Sus scrofa: one gene and its partner. The protein of the gene in region 1 purifies or fractionates together with the protein of each later gene. This does not show direct contact. Links are inferred from orthologs where the notes say so. Each region holds a gene or a part of one and is shown on either strand. Other genes may lie near its edges.

Evidence for each region.
Region 2: the proteins of KATNA1 (region 1) and KATNBL1 purify together in Homo sapiens (affinity purification with mass spectrometry; 3 studies listed by BioGRID and IntAct, counting the BioPlex papers as one, with this or other methods). This does not show direct contact. The link is inferred for Sus scrofa from reciprocal best matches to the Homo sapiens genes KATNA1 and KATNBL1.

The regions. Positions count from the first base shown.
Region 1 is NC_010443.5:16,352,273-16,359,338, reverse strand, and holds part of KATNA1 (katanin p60 ATPase-containing subunit A1), read right to left. Parts: intron 7,041-7,066; coding exon 6,919-7,040; intron 4,897-6,918; coding exon 4,791-4,896; intron 3,395-4,790; coding exon 3,236-3,394; intron 2,326-3,235; coding exon 2,199-2,325; intron 1,492-2,198; coding exon 1,357-1,491; intron 413-1,356; coding exon 286-412; intron 1-285. UniProt on the Homo sapiens protein: Catalytic subunit of a complex which severs microtubules in an ATP-dependent manner. Microtubule severing may promote rapid reorganization of cellular microtubule arrays and the release of microtubules from the centrosome following nucleation.
Region 2 is NC_010449.5:80,334,838-80,342,179, forward strand, and holds part of KATNBL1 (chromosome 15 open reading frame 29), read left to right. Parts: intron 1-1,968; 5' UTR 1,969-1,982; coding exon 1,983-2,099; intron 2,100-3,210; coding exon 3,211-3,251; intron 3,252-5,959; coding exon 5,960-6,239; intron 6,240-7,342.

The DNA of each region.
Region 1 (7,066 bases):
AATGCACTAACATGAATCTTTCTGATCCAAGACAATTATTTTCTAAATTTTACACCAATTGTTCAAACATTAGGTTCTTGAACTTGTAGCTTTTAAACTGTAGCTACTTCACTGACATGCAAGACACCCAAATGACCTATCAGCACTACCTGACCCTAACTTAAAACCAAAACTTAGGTCTCTAACTAGATTATAATATGGGTCTTTATTCTTCATCTTAATTCAGCATGAAAACTATTGTGAGTTTATACCCACAAAAGCCTATGCTTCCAAAACAGTTCATACCTGCACACGTTGGTAATGTCCGCACCAGAATAACCTTCCATGTTTTCTGCTATACTTGCAAGATCAACATCATCAGCCAGTTCCAGCTCACGCAGACTGATTCGTAAAAGCTCCTCCCTGCCTTTTGCTAATGGTAGAAACAAATTTTAAAATGTAAGCCTTCAACGTAAGTAATGTTTTACTTTTCTCCAGTCCACCTCGAGAATTTGTCTTCCAATTCTTACAGCTTATTTGCTTCAAAAATTTAAGAGCTGTTCCTCAATGAATTTATTTTAAAATTTTTAATTAATTTTTTTAAATAGAATTATTTCATTGAATTTTATTTTTTTTTTTTTTTTTTAAATGTTATCTGTCTTTTTTTTTTGTCTTTTTGCTATTTCTTTGGGCCGCTTCCACGGCACATGGAGGTTCCCAGGTTAGGGGTCGAATCAGAGCTGTAGTCACCGGCCTACGCCAGAGCCACAGCAACGCGGGATCCGAGCCGTGTCTGAGACCTACACCACAGCTCACAGCAACACTGGATCATTAACCCACTGAGCAAGGGCAGGGACCGAACCCACAACCTCATGGTTCCTAGTCGGATTCATTAACTACTGTGCCACGATGGGAACTCCTTTACTGAATTTTAAATTCCCTAGTATCAAGGCTTTAGGCTCCAGATATAGCCAAACCAGTTAATATAAGGAAAGACATCCTATATTTGTCTTTTAAAGGAAAGTTCAGAAATTCCCTTTGTGGTACAGTGGAAACGAATCCAACTAGGAACCATGAGGTTGTGGGTTTGATCCCTGGCCTTGCTCAGTGGGCTAGGGATCCGGTGTTGCTGTGAGCTGTGGTGTAGGCTGCAGACATGGCTTGGATCTGGCATTGCTGTGGCGCTGGCGTAGGCCGGCAGCAACAGCTCTAATTCGACCCCTAGCCTGGGAACCTCCATATGCCGCAGATACGGCCCTAAAAGGACAAAAGACAAAAAAAAAAAAAAAAAAAAAAAAAAGTTCATTAATACCAAAATTCTTAATTTCTAAGCAAAACTAAGAGTTAATATGAGCTTTCTGATTCAAATGAAGATACCTGATGGTAATGGGATATAGATTCTTTTTTCAAGACGTCTTCTTAAAGCCTCATCAATATCCCAGGGAAAATTAGTAGCTGCCAGAACCATAACCATTTTGGAAGGGTCATCATTTTCAGAAGCACCTCCAACACCTTAACGAAGGGTAAGAATATGGTAAAACAGACACAAAACAAAGCTCAACTACTTAAAGATCATCAGATACTTAGCACAACAATAAAAGGAGTATAATCATCAAGCCTCCTTAAGACTTAATAAAGCTAACTAGTACATAAATGAATTTGTGGTCCTGAGAAGCATAAGTTTTTGTAAGTATGCGAAAAACATGACTTAAAATAGTTTTAATCAAAAGACTAATTCATGAGTTCCCACTGTGATGCAAGGGGTTTGGTGGCCTGTCTGCAGTGCCAGGACACAGGTTTGATCACCAGCCCGACACAGTGGGTTAAAGGATCTAGCATTGCCACAGCTGTGGCATAGGTCACAACTGTGGCTCAGATCTGATACCTGGCCAGGGAGCTCCATATGCCATGGGGCAGCCAAAATAGGAAAGGAAAAAAAAAAAAAAGGCCAGTTCAGCTTAGTTACACAGCAATTTAAAAAATTATTCAAAACCAAAACCATACATCTCCCTTTCTAAGGCCAATTTATCTGCATTTATTTCAATTTCATGGCTAAAAATGAGATCAGTGTGTGTGTCCTATGAATGAAGAGCCATTATTTCCGGTGTGTCACCGCTGTCCATCTCCAGGACCTACTTGGCAGCCCCTCCCGTTATCTGGATGTGTGGGTTGGCACTAGGAGGAGAGCTCAGTCAGTTCACGCAGATACACATGCATACCATCCATCTGAACCAGCAGCTCGGCTTTCACCCTTCTGCTTGCCTCGTGCTCTTCAGAAGTCCCTCTGCGACTGCAAATGGAATCTATCTCATCAATAAATATGGTGGCTGGAGAATAAAATCGAGCCTAAAGAAAGAAACCAGGTTTTTATTTCATTCAAAAGTAACCTATAGGAGTTCCTGTCGTGGCGCAGGCGAAACAAACCTGACTAGGAACCATGAGGTTGCGGGTTCGATCCCTGGCCTTGCTCAGTGGGTCAAGGATCCGGTGTTGTTGTGAGCTGTGGTGTAGGTCACAGACATGGCTCGGATCTGGCGTTGCTGTGGCTCTGGCGTAGGTTGGTGGCTATAGCTCCAATTAGACCCCTAGCCTGGGAACCTCCACTGCCTCGGGTGCAGCCCTAAAAACGCAAAAACAAAACAAAACAAAACAAAAAACCCCCCAAACCCAAAAGTAACCTATAGTTTAGCAATTAGAAAACAGCTCAGGAGTCTGCCACACTGGGCAGCTGTCTCTTTTGTCCTAATACTGGGGAGGGAAGACAGAGCTGGAAAAGCTAAATTACAGCTGCTAAGGTGGACTTATTATATACTTAAATATTAATGGCACTTTTTGTGCTATTGAATACTGTAACTGGTTCTATCTATTTGTTTAGGAGTCATAGGAATACAGGATTATCTGTATACTACAGTGACAGGGATAACAATGGTGGGAAGACATTTACAGACACTGCTAAGTGTTCTGAAGTTCCAGGGAAAAATTTGTTAAAGAGAACCACTACCTTAAATAAAATCACACAGATTCCCTCTAAGAAAGTTTAATTACATTCATTTTTCTTTCTTTTTCTTTTCTTTTTTTTTCTGTCAGCACCCAGAGCCTGTGGAAGTTTCCAGGCCCAGGACAGAACCCGTGCCATAGCAGTGACCCGAGCTGCTGCAGTGACAACACTGGATCCTTAACCTGCTGAGCCACAAGGGAACTCCACTTTCTCCCCTTTTAGTAGTAAAGAATCATTAGCGCCGTCTCAAACACTTGCCATTTCGAACAGAAGACGAACAAGCTTCTCAGACTCTCCTCTGTATTTGGAAGTCAGGGTTGATGACGAGACATTGAAGAATGTTGTCTTGCATTCCGTAGCCACCGCTTTGGCGAGAAGGGTCTTTCCTGTACCAGGTGGGCCCACCATCAACACTCCCTGTTGGAAATAGAAGAGCATCAGCAAAAGATTTATCCACCATTGTTCTAATTCACAGGAATTCCATTACTAAGGATCAGTTTTCAACCAACTTACACATAATATTAGGACAAAAGACAAAGAAGGATACTTTATCACAAATGTAATTTTTCCATTATAAAGGCAAGGAAGTCATACATTATTATTAATAATCTGGAACTAAGAGAAGAAATATAATAAGTATTAATGTACTGATATTATATCATACCCTAACACAGGTGCCATTAGTATCTGGATCCATTTCCTACTAGTCTTTTCACTCAAACAAATTAGATACTGTTTTTTTTACTTAGTTGGACTCAAAGTAGGTCTATAATTTTGTATTCTGCTTTTCACTGAACATTTCAAGAATAAAAAATAAGTACAGGGAGTTCCATGGTGGTGCAGTGGAAACAAATCCGACTAGTTAGTATCCATGAGGATGCAGGTTCAACCCTGGCCTTGCTCAGTAGGTCGGAGATCCGGCGTTACCGTGAGCTGTGGTAGACACAGCTTGGATCCCGAGTTGCTGTGGCGTAGGCCAGCAGCTACAGCTCCAATTCAACCCCTAGCCTGGGAACTTCCACATGCCGTGGGTGTGGCCCTAAAAAGCAACCAATCAATCAATCAATGTACAGCGTTAGTCATTAGCACATTTCCCAAATCCAAGAGTGTTTTGGAGAGTCTTTTTTTGGACCAGCACATGGTTTTTAAAAAGTACTCATGAGGAGTTCCCGTCATGGCTCAGTGGTTAACGAACCCAACTAGGAACCATGAGGTTGTGGGTTCGATCCCTGCCCTTGCTCAGTTGGGGAAGGATCCGGCGTTGCTGTGAGCTGTGGTGTAGGTTGCAGATGCAGCCCGGATCCCGCGTTGCTGTGGCTCTGGCATAGGCCGGTGGCTACAGCTCCGATTCGAACCCTAGCCTGGGAACCTCCATATGCCGCGGGAGCGGCCCAAGAAAATGGCAAAAAGACAAAAGAAAAAAAAAAAAAAAAAAGTACTCATGAGATCCAAATATGTCTTATTAATTTCTTAAGAACAATTCCAAGAAATACAGATATAAGTTCTACAACATGACACATAAAATGGATTATTTTTGGATTAGGCAACGTGTTCATATTTGCAAATATAAGTTCATTATAAATCTGCTGTGTGTCCAACTTTCCAAAGACCTCACTCCACCTGTTTCTTATTCTGGGAACCTTGCAATAGCTTTCAGTCGAAAGTTCTGAATAACACAATATAGTTTTCAAGTTGAAATTTTCTTTACCTACTCTTTTCTCCTCTCACTTACCCCAATACAGATAAATAATGGCTTTCTACAGCCATGCACCTGCCATTTGCTTTGACGATGCCATAATAGTGGTAAACTTACTTTCCACGGTCTCCTAATGCCCTTAAAGAACTCTGGCATCCACATTGGTAACACCACAGCTTCCTTAAGCAACTTTTTAGCTTCTACTAAATCAGCAATATCATCCCTGAAAGAGAAGATATTTTACCAACAAGCTTAGGTTATATGCTTAACTCATGTAGTCATTTTTGAGAATCACTGAATCACACAATTTTACACTACTGACAGAATGCTACGCTTCTTCTAGGCACTTGTGAACTGACACCCGTGATGAGCCCTGCCACGCCAACCAGTATATGGCCAGAGCCCTATCTGAGACTTCAATTATTGGCAGTAATGATTTTCAGCTTGGTGGATGAGAACACAGGTCTACGGCCGACCCTTAAGTGTTATGATGCCATCTCACTTTAAATTCCTCCTCTTAGGGAGTTCCCGTCGTGGCGCAGTGGTTAACGAATCAGACTAGGAACCATGAGGTGGCGGGTTCAATCCCTGCCCTTGCTCAGTGGGTTAACGATCCAGCGTTGCCATGAGCTGTGGTGTAGGTTGCAGACGCGGCTCGGATCCGGCGTTGCTGTGGCTCTGGTGTAGGCTGGCAGCTACAGCTCCGATTAGACCCCTAGCCTGGGAACCTCCATGTGCCGCAGGAGCGGCCCAAGAAATGGCAAAAAGACAAAAATAAATAAATAAATTCCTCCTCTTACAAGGCTCATTCCTCAAACTCCATGATTTAAAAATAATGAACCTAAGAGTTCCCATCGTGGCTCAGTGGTAACACATCTGACTAGTGTTCATGAAGATGCACGTTTGATCCCCTAGCCTGGGAACTTCCATATGCCGTGGGTTTGGCCCTAGAAAGCTAAAATAATAATAATAATAAAAAAATAATGAACCTATTAAAAAACCATAAAGAATAAAAAGGGCATAAAGCAGACACAGGCTGCAAAACTGCCTCTTTGACCTCAATGCTATAAGAGGTAGACACCAAGGTTAGAGAGCACCATAGAGACTGCTGTGAAGTCATCTCCAACCACTAGAACACAACCACTACTACAACTACTGGTACACATGGCATGCTAATATATTATGATATATGATAGGACAATATATTTTAAGATGCCCCCCAAATGTACCTAAAAATAATTAAAGTTTTAAAAAATATACACCAGAATGTACCTAACTTTGTGGGAAAGAGTGCTTTATAACTCGCTGTGATAAATTACAGGTATAATATTAACAGAGAACCACTGCTCTGAGTAATAGGAAATAAAAACAACATATATTAGATAAACCTAAAGATAACAGCAACACACATGCATAAGAATGACTGCCAGAGTTCCCTCTGTGGTGCAATGGGTTAAGAACTGACTGCGGGAGTTCCCGTCGTGGCGCAGTGGTTAACGAATCCGACTAGGAACCATGAGGTTGCGGGTTCGGTCCCTGCCCTTGCTCAGTGGGTTGAGGATCCGGCGTTGCCGTGAGCTGTGGTGTAGGTTGCAGACGTGGCTCGGATCCCGCGTTGTTGTGGCTCTGGTGTAGGCCAGTGGCTACAGCTCCGACTGGACCCCTAGCCTAGGAATCTCCATATGCCGCAGGAGCGGCCCAAGAAATAGCAAAAAAAAAAAGACAAAAAAAGAACTGACTGCGGCAGCTCAGGTCATTACAGAGACACAGGTTTGATCCCTGGCCCAGTGCAGGAGGTTAAAGGATCTAGCCTTGCTGCAGCTGCGGCACAGGTCAGAGCTGCAGCTCAGACACAATCCCTGGCCCAGGAACGTTCACATGCCACAGAAGCGGGTATTAAAAAAAAAGAATGACTACCATTTTACCATTAGAGAGTGTCCCAAAAAGAAGATGAAATTTCTGTGACCTTATTTCCATTTGGTATATAGGATTTTTTTATTTAATAAAAACGTTATTTTATTGTTATCATTTATTTCATCAAATTTAAAAATCTGAGACAGAAACTGGCACAGACTGAAGCAAAGTGAAGTTTTTTCATTCATTATGTGCCATGCCAGATAGTATATATGTACTCCATCCAGTTCAACCCTCAAGGACTGATCCTCAGTACATGCTCACATTTGCTCCATTTTCTGTTCCAAAAAGCATCATCAGCACCCAATTATTTTCTTGTGATATAACTTACCATCGAACATTGGGGTTCTGAGAAATTATATCTCTTTCCAAAGCTTCTACTAAGTCCTTATCATATCCAGTACTATCAAATTTATTTGTCTCTGGTTCTGTAACTGCAGCAGGAGATTTGTTCTACACAAATAGAGGGAAAAAAAAGT
Region 2 (7,342 bases), on another chromosome or scaffold:
ATAGAGACATATGAAATATATTTCTTAAGTAATAAGACTTGAAAGTTGAAATTACTCCTTGATCCATGGGCTGCAAAATAGATACTGTGTCAGCAACATGAAAATAACAGTTTCGTTGTATATCTCCATCAGAGTTCTGGGTGCATTGTTGATGAGCAGTGGTATTTTGAAAGGAATCTTTTTTTTCTAAGCAGTATGTCTCAACTGTGGGCTTAAAATATTCAGTAAACCATGTTGTGAACAGATGTGCTTTTATCCAGGGTTTGTTATTCCATTTATAGAGTACAGGTAGAGTAGATTTAGCATAGTTCTTAAGGGCCCAAGGATTTTTAGAATGGTAAATGGCCATTGGCTTCAACTTACAGTCTCCTGCTGCTTTAACCTTTAATAAGACTCAGCCTGTCCTTTGCAGCTTTGAAGCCAGGCTTGACCTCTCCTCTCTAGCTATGAAAGTCCTACATGGCATCTTCTTCCAACAGAAGGCTGTTTCATCTACACTGAAAACTGTCATTTAGTGTAGCCTCCTTCGCTAATGATCTTATCTATATCTTCTAGATAATTCATTGCAGCTTCTACATTAGCTCTTGCTGCTTCACCTTGTACTTTTATGTTACAGAACAGCTTCTTTCCTGAAACTTCATGAATTAACCTTTGCTAGCTTTAGACTTTACTTCTGCAGCTTTCTTACCTCTCTCAGGCTTCATAGGATTAAAGGGAGTTAGGGTCTTGCTCTGAAATAGGTTTTGGCTTAAGGGAATGTTTTGATTGGTTTGGTCTTCTATCCAAACTGCTAAAACTTTCTCCATATTAACAATAAGACTATTTTCCTTTACCATTTGTGTGTTCAAGAACTTTTCCTTTGTATTCACAACTTGCCTAATTGGTCCAAGAGGCCTCACTTTTAGCCTTCTCAGCTTTTGACATGCCTTCCTCACTAAGCTTATTGATTTCTAACTTTGATTTAAAAGGAGAGACTTGCTGGAGTTCCCTGATGGCTCAGTGGGTTAAGGATCTGACACTGTCACTGCTGTGGTGCATGTTTGACCTCTGGCCCAGGAATTCCCACATGCCATGGTGCAGCCAAGAAAAATAATACATAAATGAAAGGAGAGACTTACAACTCTTCTTTTCACTTGAATACTTGGAGGCCATTGTAGGGTTATTCATCAACCTAATTTCAGTGTAGTTGTGTCCTAGGGATTGGGAAGGCCTGAGGAGAGGGTGAGAGATGGGAAATAGCCAGTCAGTGGAGCAGCCAGAACATAAACATATATCAATTAAGTTCACCATGTTGTATATGAACACAGTTCCTAATGCTTGAAAACAAAAAGTAGCATCAAAGATCCCTGACCATAAATTATCAAAACAAATATAATAATGCTTGAAATATTGTGAAAATGACCAAAATGTGACACAGACATGAAGTGAATAAATGCTGTTGAGAAAATGGTACCAACAGACTTAATCAACACGAAGTTGCCACAAGCTTTCAACTTATTTTAAAAAGTGCCCCCCCCCCCAAATTTTAAAGCAGTTCCTGTCATGGTGCATTGGAAACAAATCCAACTAGGAACCGTAAGGTTGCAGGTTCCATCCCTGGCCTTGCTCAGTGGGTTAAGGATATGGTGTTGCCATGAGCTGTGGTGTAGGTTGAAGACGAGGCTCAGGTCTGGCGTTGCTGTGGCTTTGGTATAGGCCGGAGGCTACAGCCCTGGTTAGACCCCCTAGCCTGGGAACCTCCATATGCCGCAGGTACAGCCCTAAAAAGACAAAAACAAACGCACACAGAAAGTCACAATAACTGTGAAGTGCAGTAAAATGAGGTTTGTCTAAATCTTATCTGCTTTACTCTTAAGCCTGTTTTTCACATAGCATAGGGCTGGTATATTTTTGCATATGTGTTAAGAATGGGATCAGGGTCTTTTGGTTTTTTGTATTTTCCATTTATTATTTTTATTTTTTGTCTAGGTATTTAAGAGATTATGGCCTCTGAAACCCACAATGTTAAAAAATGCAACTCTTGTAATAATATTGAGGATCATTCCATTGATCTTCCTAGAAAAAGGATCTCTAATTTCACTAATAAGAACATGAAGGAGGTAAGTCCCCTGGTTTCTAGGAGTGAGTAAGACAGTATCTCAGTCTGTTTAGGCTTCTACAGCAGAATATCATAGACTGGGTGGTTCATAAAAGCAGAAATTTATTTCTCCCAGTTCCAGAGGCTAAGAAGTCCAAGATCCCTAGCAGAGTTGGTATCCAGTGACAGCCCACTTCCTGGTTTTTAGATGGCTGACTTCTCTCTACTTCCTCACAGTGTAGAAAGGGAAAGAGAATTCTCTGGGCTCTCTTTAAAATGACACTAATCCTATTCATGAAGTGTTTCCCTTGTGATTAATCACCTCCCCAAAGCCCTGCCTCCTAACACCATCACTCTGGGAGTTAGTATTTCAACATAGGAATTTTGGCAAGACAGAGAAATTCAGTTTGGCACAGACAGTTTAAACTACTAAGTCTATGCATGTTTTGGCTAAAGTATTTAAACAATGGGAGGGTAACAGTTCTGCTGAATGCTGCCAAAATTAAGTAGAATTATGAAATAATTGAAAACTCTTTATATTCCAAAAGCTCTAAAAACTTTTTGGCCAGTGTACTGACCAGTTTTGATATGGTATAATTTGAATATTTTAGTTTAATTTTAGAGGAATCGCATAGGTGCTATTTGCTCACCATTGCAAGGCTTATTAGCCCTGATATTATTTCTTAAAACTATATTAGGAGTTCCCTGATGGCCTGATGGTTAAAGGATCCAGTGTTGTCATTGCTGTGGCTTGAGTCACTGCTGTGGCACAGGTTTGATTCTTGTTCTAGGAACTTCCACATGCCACGGGTGCAGCCAAATATATATATACATGTAAATTCAACCCACTTATTAATAAGCAATCTGTAAGTACTTATTAATAAACACTCTGTAAGTACACAGTCTGTGACTAGGAGCATGGAAACTAGGAAGATGGACGTACTGCATTGTCAAAAATACCTCCATACAATGTTGTTGTAACTAATGATTCAGAGTACAGCATTAGAACAGTAAAAGCTTTAATCTGAAATTTTAAACTGTTGAATTTCATACCTGTTGATATCAGTCACAAAGTTTACATAGCCTTGTTGAAGAACATAAATATAATGCAACTATCTACGTTTATTTTTCAGGTTAAGAAATCTCCAAAACAGTTGGCTGCTTACATAACTAGGTAAGAGCTTCTTTTAAGTTTGGGGTGGGAATTCCCTGCTGATCTAGTGGTTAGGACTTGGTGATTTCACTGCTGCAGCCCAGGTTCAGTCTCTGTTCTGGGAACTGAAATCCTACATCAGGTTGCTGCACGCGGCTATGGCCAAAATAAAAAGGGGGTTTGTGGGAAATAGCAAATATTAAAAGCTGGATAAGAATGAAAATAGGGGAAAAAATATTCTCTTTCATTATACTAATATTAATTTATTTTCAAGCAGCTCCTTTGTGCCAGGCACTGTGCTAATAAACATATCAGTATTAGATAGATCAGTATCATTACCCCAAATAGTTGGTGAGGAAAACTAAGGATTTATGATTTCTTTAGGGTCGCTTATCCAGAAGTTTGTTAAAATGGCATTTATTCTCAGATTTGCCAAACTCTAAAGGTCCTTTCTGCTAAACCTCTGGTTCTCAAAGTGTGATGTGAGGATCTGGAGGTCGCTGAAGCCCTTTCAGGGAGTTTGTGAGGTCAAAACTATCTTTACAGTATTAAGACCTTATTCACCTTCTTCATTTCCACTCTTTTATAAGTGTACATTAGGGTTTTCCAGAGGCTGCATGATATTTAATATCTCAGTAGTTTGAATGCAGAAGCAGATATGAGAATCCAGCTGACTTCTGTTAAACCAGGTATTAGAGATTTTGTACAAATGTAAAATTGCACCAGATATTAAGAGATTTTTGCACAAGTGCCATTCTTCTCATTGTTTTTTGTTTTTGTTTTTTTGTCTTTTTCTTCATGTTTTTGGGGCTGCACCCTTAGCACATGGAAGTTCCCAGCCTACAGGTCAAATTGTAGCTGTAGCTACTGGCCTACACCACAGCCATAGCAACACCAGATCCAAGAGACATCTGTGACCTATACCACAGCTCACGGCAATACCGGATCTTTTAACTCACAGAGCAAGGCCAGGGATAGAACCTGCTTCCTCATGGATACTAGTCAGGTTCGTTACTGCTGAGCCACGATGGGAACTCTTCACCGTATTTTTTTTTTTTAATGGCCATTCCTGTGGCATGTGGATGTTCTTGGACTAGGGATTGAATCCAAGCTGCAGCTTAGACCTACACTGCCGCTACAGCAGTGCCAGATCCTTTATCCCACTGTGCCGAGCTGAGAACCGATCCTGCATTTCTGCAGTGACCTTAGCCACTGCAGTCAGATTCTTAACCCACTGCAGCATAGCAGGAATGCCTCACTGTATTTTTTGTTTGTTTTAGAAAATAAAGTTTTTGTTTGTTTGTCTTTTTAGGACCACACCCACAGTATATGGAGGTTCCCAGGCTAGGGGTCTAATCAGAGCTGTTGCCACTGGCCTACACCAGAGCCACAGCAATGCCAGATCCAAGCTGCATCTGCAACCTACACCACAGCTCATGGCAACACCAGATCCTTAACTCACTGAGCGAGGCCAGGGATCAAACCCACAACCTCATGGTTCCTAGTCAGATTCATTTCTTCTGTGCCACGATGGGAACTCCTAAAGTTTTCTTTTAATATTGTTAATATATAATGAGTTTATCATTTTTGATGAATTGATAAATTTTCTTAGTTTTAGTTTCTCATTCAGATATTGCCCACATAAAAAAATTCTTTTAAGACCCCAGTAATTTTTAAGAGTGCAAAGAATCCTGAGACCAAAACATTTGATAACCACTATACTAAATTATGAGATGTGCTTTATTATGTTTTATCTTATTCAGACAAATTAAGGACTTCCTTTGTGACTCAGTAGTAACAAACTTGACTAGTTATTCATGAGGTGTTGCCTTGAGCTGTGGTATAGGTAGTAGACAAGGCTTGGATCCAGTGTTGCTGTGGCTGTGGTGTAGACTGGCAGCTGCAGCTCTGTTTTTTTGTTTTGTTTTGGTTTTTTGTTGTTGTTGTTGTTGTTTTTTTTGCCATTTCTTGGGCCGCTCCTGCGGCATATGGAGCTTCCCAGGCTAGGGGTCCAATCGGAGCTGTAGCTGCCAGCCTACGTCAGAGCCACAGCAACTCAGGATCCAAGCCGCATCTTCGACCTACACCACAGCTCACGGCAACGCCGGATCATTAACCCACTGAGCAAGGGGCAGGGACCGAACCCGCAACCTCATGGTTCCTAGTCGGATTCGTTAACCACTGCGCCACGACAGGAACTCCTGCAGCTCTGATTTAACCCCTAGCCTGGGAACTTCTGTATGCCATGAGTGTGGCCCTAAAAAGAAGACAAAAAAAAAAAATTAAATATACTTCAACGTAATCAAAATAAGTGTTATCTTTTATTATGTATTACAATATATATTCAAACTTGAATAATTCAAATTAAAATATTCAAACTTAAACAATAATTATGTCACTTAGAAAAAGAATAAGTGACTAGAAATTGTTAGAACTTTCATATTCCCTGAATACCCTGTAATATTTTTAAAGCATCTAGTTGTTATGGCTGTTTGTTTTCTTTTGGTACAAAATATCCCTTTCATTGCTTTCCATATGGTTTGTAATTTGCCTTTTATTTTCCTCTTCAATCTAAGAGTTAAGATTTTTAAAAGATTATTCCCCTTACTTCTGATTTTAGTGAATTGTGATCACAAAATGTGGCCTACTAAATCTTTCTCTTTAAAAACTTTTAAAGCTTTTCACGTGTTTTTCTTTTTTTCATTTAAGAAAATTAATTCTTTTTACAGAACAGTTGGTCAAGCTGTGAAAAGCCCAGATAAACTACGTAAGGTGATCTATCGCAGAAAGAAAGTTCATCATCCTTTTCCAAACCCTTGTTACAGAAGAAAACAGTCCCCTAGAAGTGGGGGCTGTGACATGGCAAATAAAGAAAATGAACTGGCTTGTGCAGGCCACCTCCCTGAAAAATTACGCCATGATAGTCGAACATATTCGGTTAACTCCAGTGATTCTAGTTCGTCACAGACAGAAAGCCCATCATCAAAATATAGTGGGTTTTTTTCTGAGGTAAGTTATTTTGTATAAGCTTAACTTTATTTCTGTTATGTTATTGGCTTCTTCCTTTGCCATATTCTACTAGCAAAATAATTCACTGCCAGTTAATTTCAGACTATTTGAGAGATTGTAACTCCTGAAGACAGTTTTCTGGATTTACTAAATTTGAATCAGTAGTTTATTCCATTTTTCTAAGAAAGAGTTACCTGCGATGGAATGAAATGATTGACAAGCTGTTATAAATATGCAGAATGGCAAGTTGGCCAGTAGAGATTTAAAAAGGGGGAAAGACAGAGTTCCTGCTATGGCGCAGGAATCTCCCAGTAGGATCCTGCTTTGCTGTGGTGTAGACCGGCCGCTGTAGCTCTGAATCAACCCCTAGCCAGGGAACTTCCATATGCTACAGGTGTGACCCTAAAAAGCATTAAAAAAAAAAAAAGAAAAGAAAAGAAAAAGAAAGTAGGTTAATGGTTGTCAGGATTGGAGAGAGGGGAGGATGGATTCCAAGTTTTCTTTGGGAGTGATGAAAAGTTCTAAAATTCATTATTGTGGTGCTTGCACAACTCTGTGAATGTACTAAAAACTGTTGCATTATACCTTTTAAATGGGTAAATTTTATGGTATGTGAATATTATATGTTAATCTGGGAACTTCTGTATGCCATGGGTGTGGCCCTAAAAAGAAGACAAAAAGGCCCTTAAAAAAAAAAAAAAAAGATTGAAGGATATGTATTTGTTATTGAAAAAAAATTGGATCTTGCTGTTCCATTTCTAAAATTAATCCTACAGAAGGTTTTATACAAGTGCCCATATTATATACATAAGGATATTCATTGATACACAGTTTTGTTTTTTGGCTGTGCCTGGGGAATGCAAAAGCCATGCACTGCCATGGCAGTGACCCAAGCCGCAGCAGGATCCAATGCTGGATCCTTAACCTGCTGGGCCACCCGGGAACCCCTGGTGCACAGTTTTAATAGGGAAAAACCAGAATCATTCTAAATCTATGGTACATAGAGATTGGAGGGGTGTTCCCATCATGGCTTAGTGGTTAATGAACCCAACTAGTATCCATGAGGACATGGGTTCGATCCCTGGCCTTGCTCAGTGGGTTAA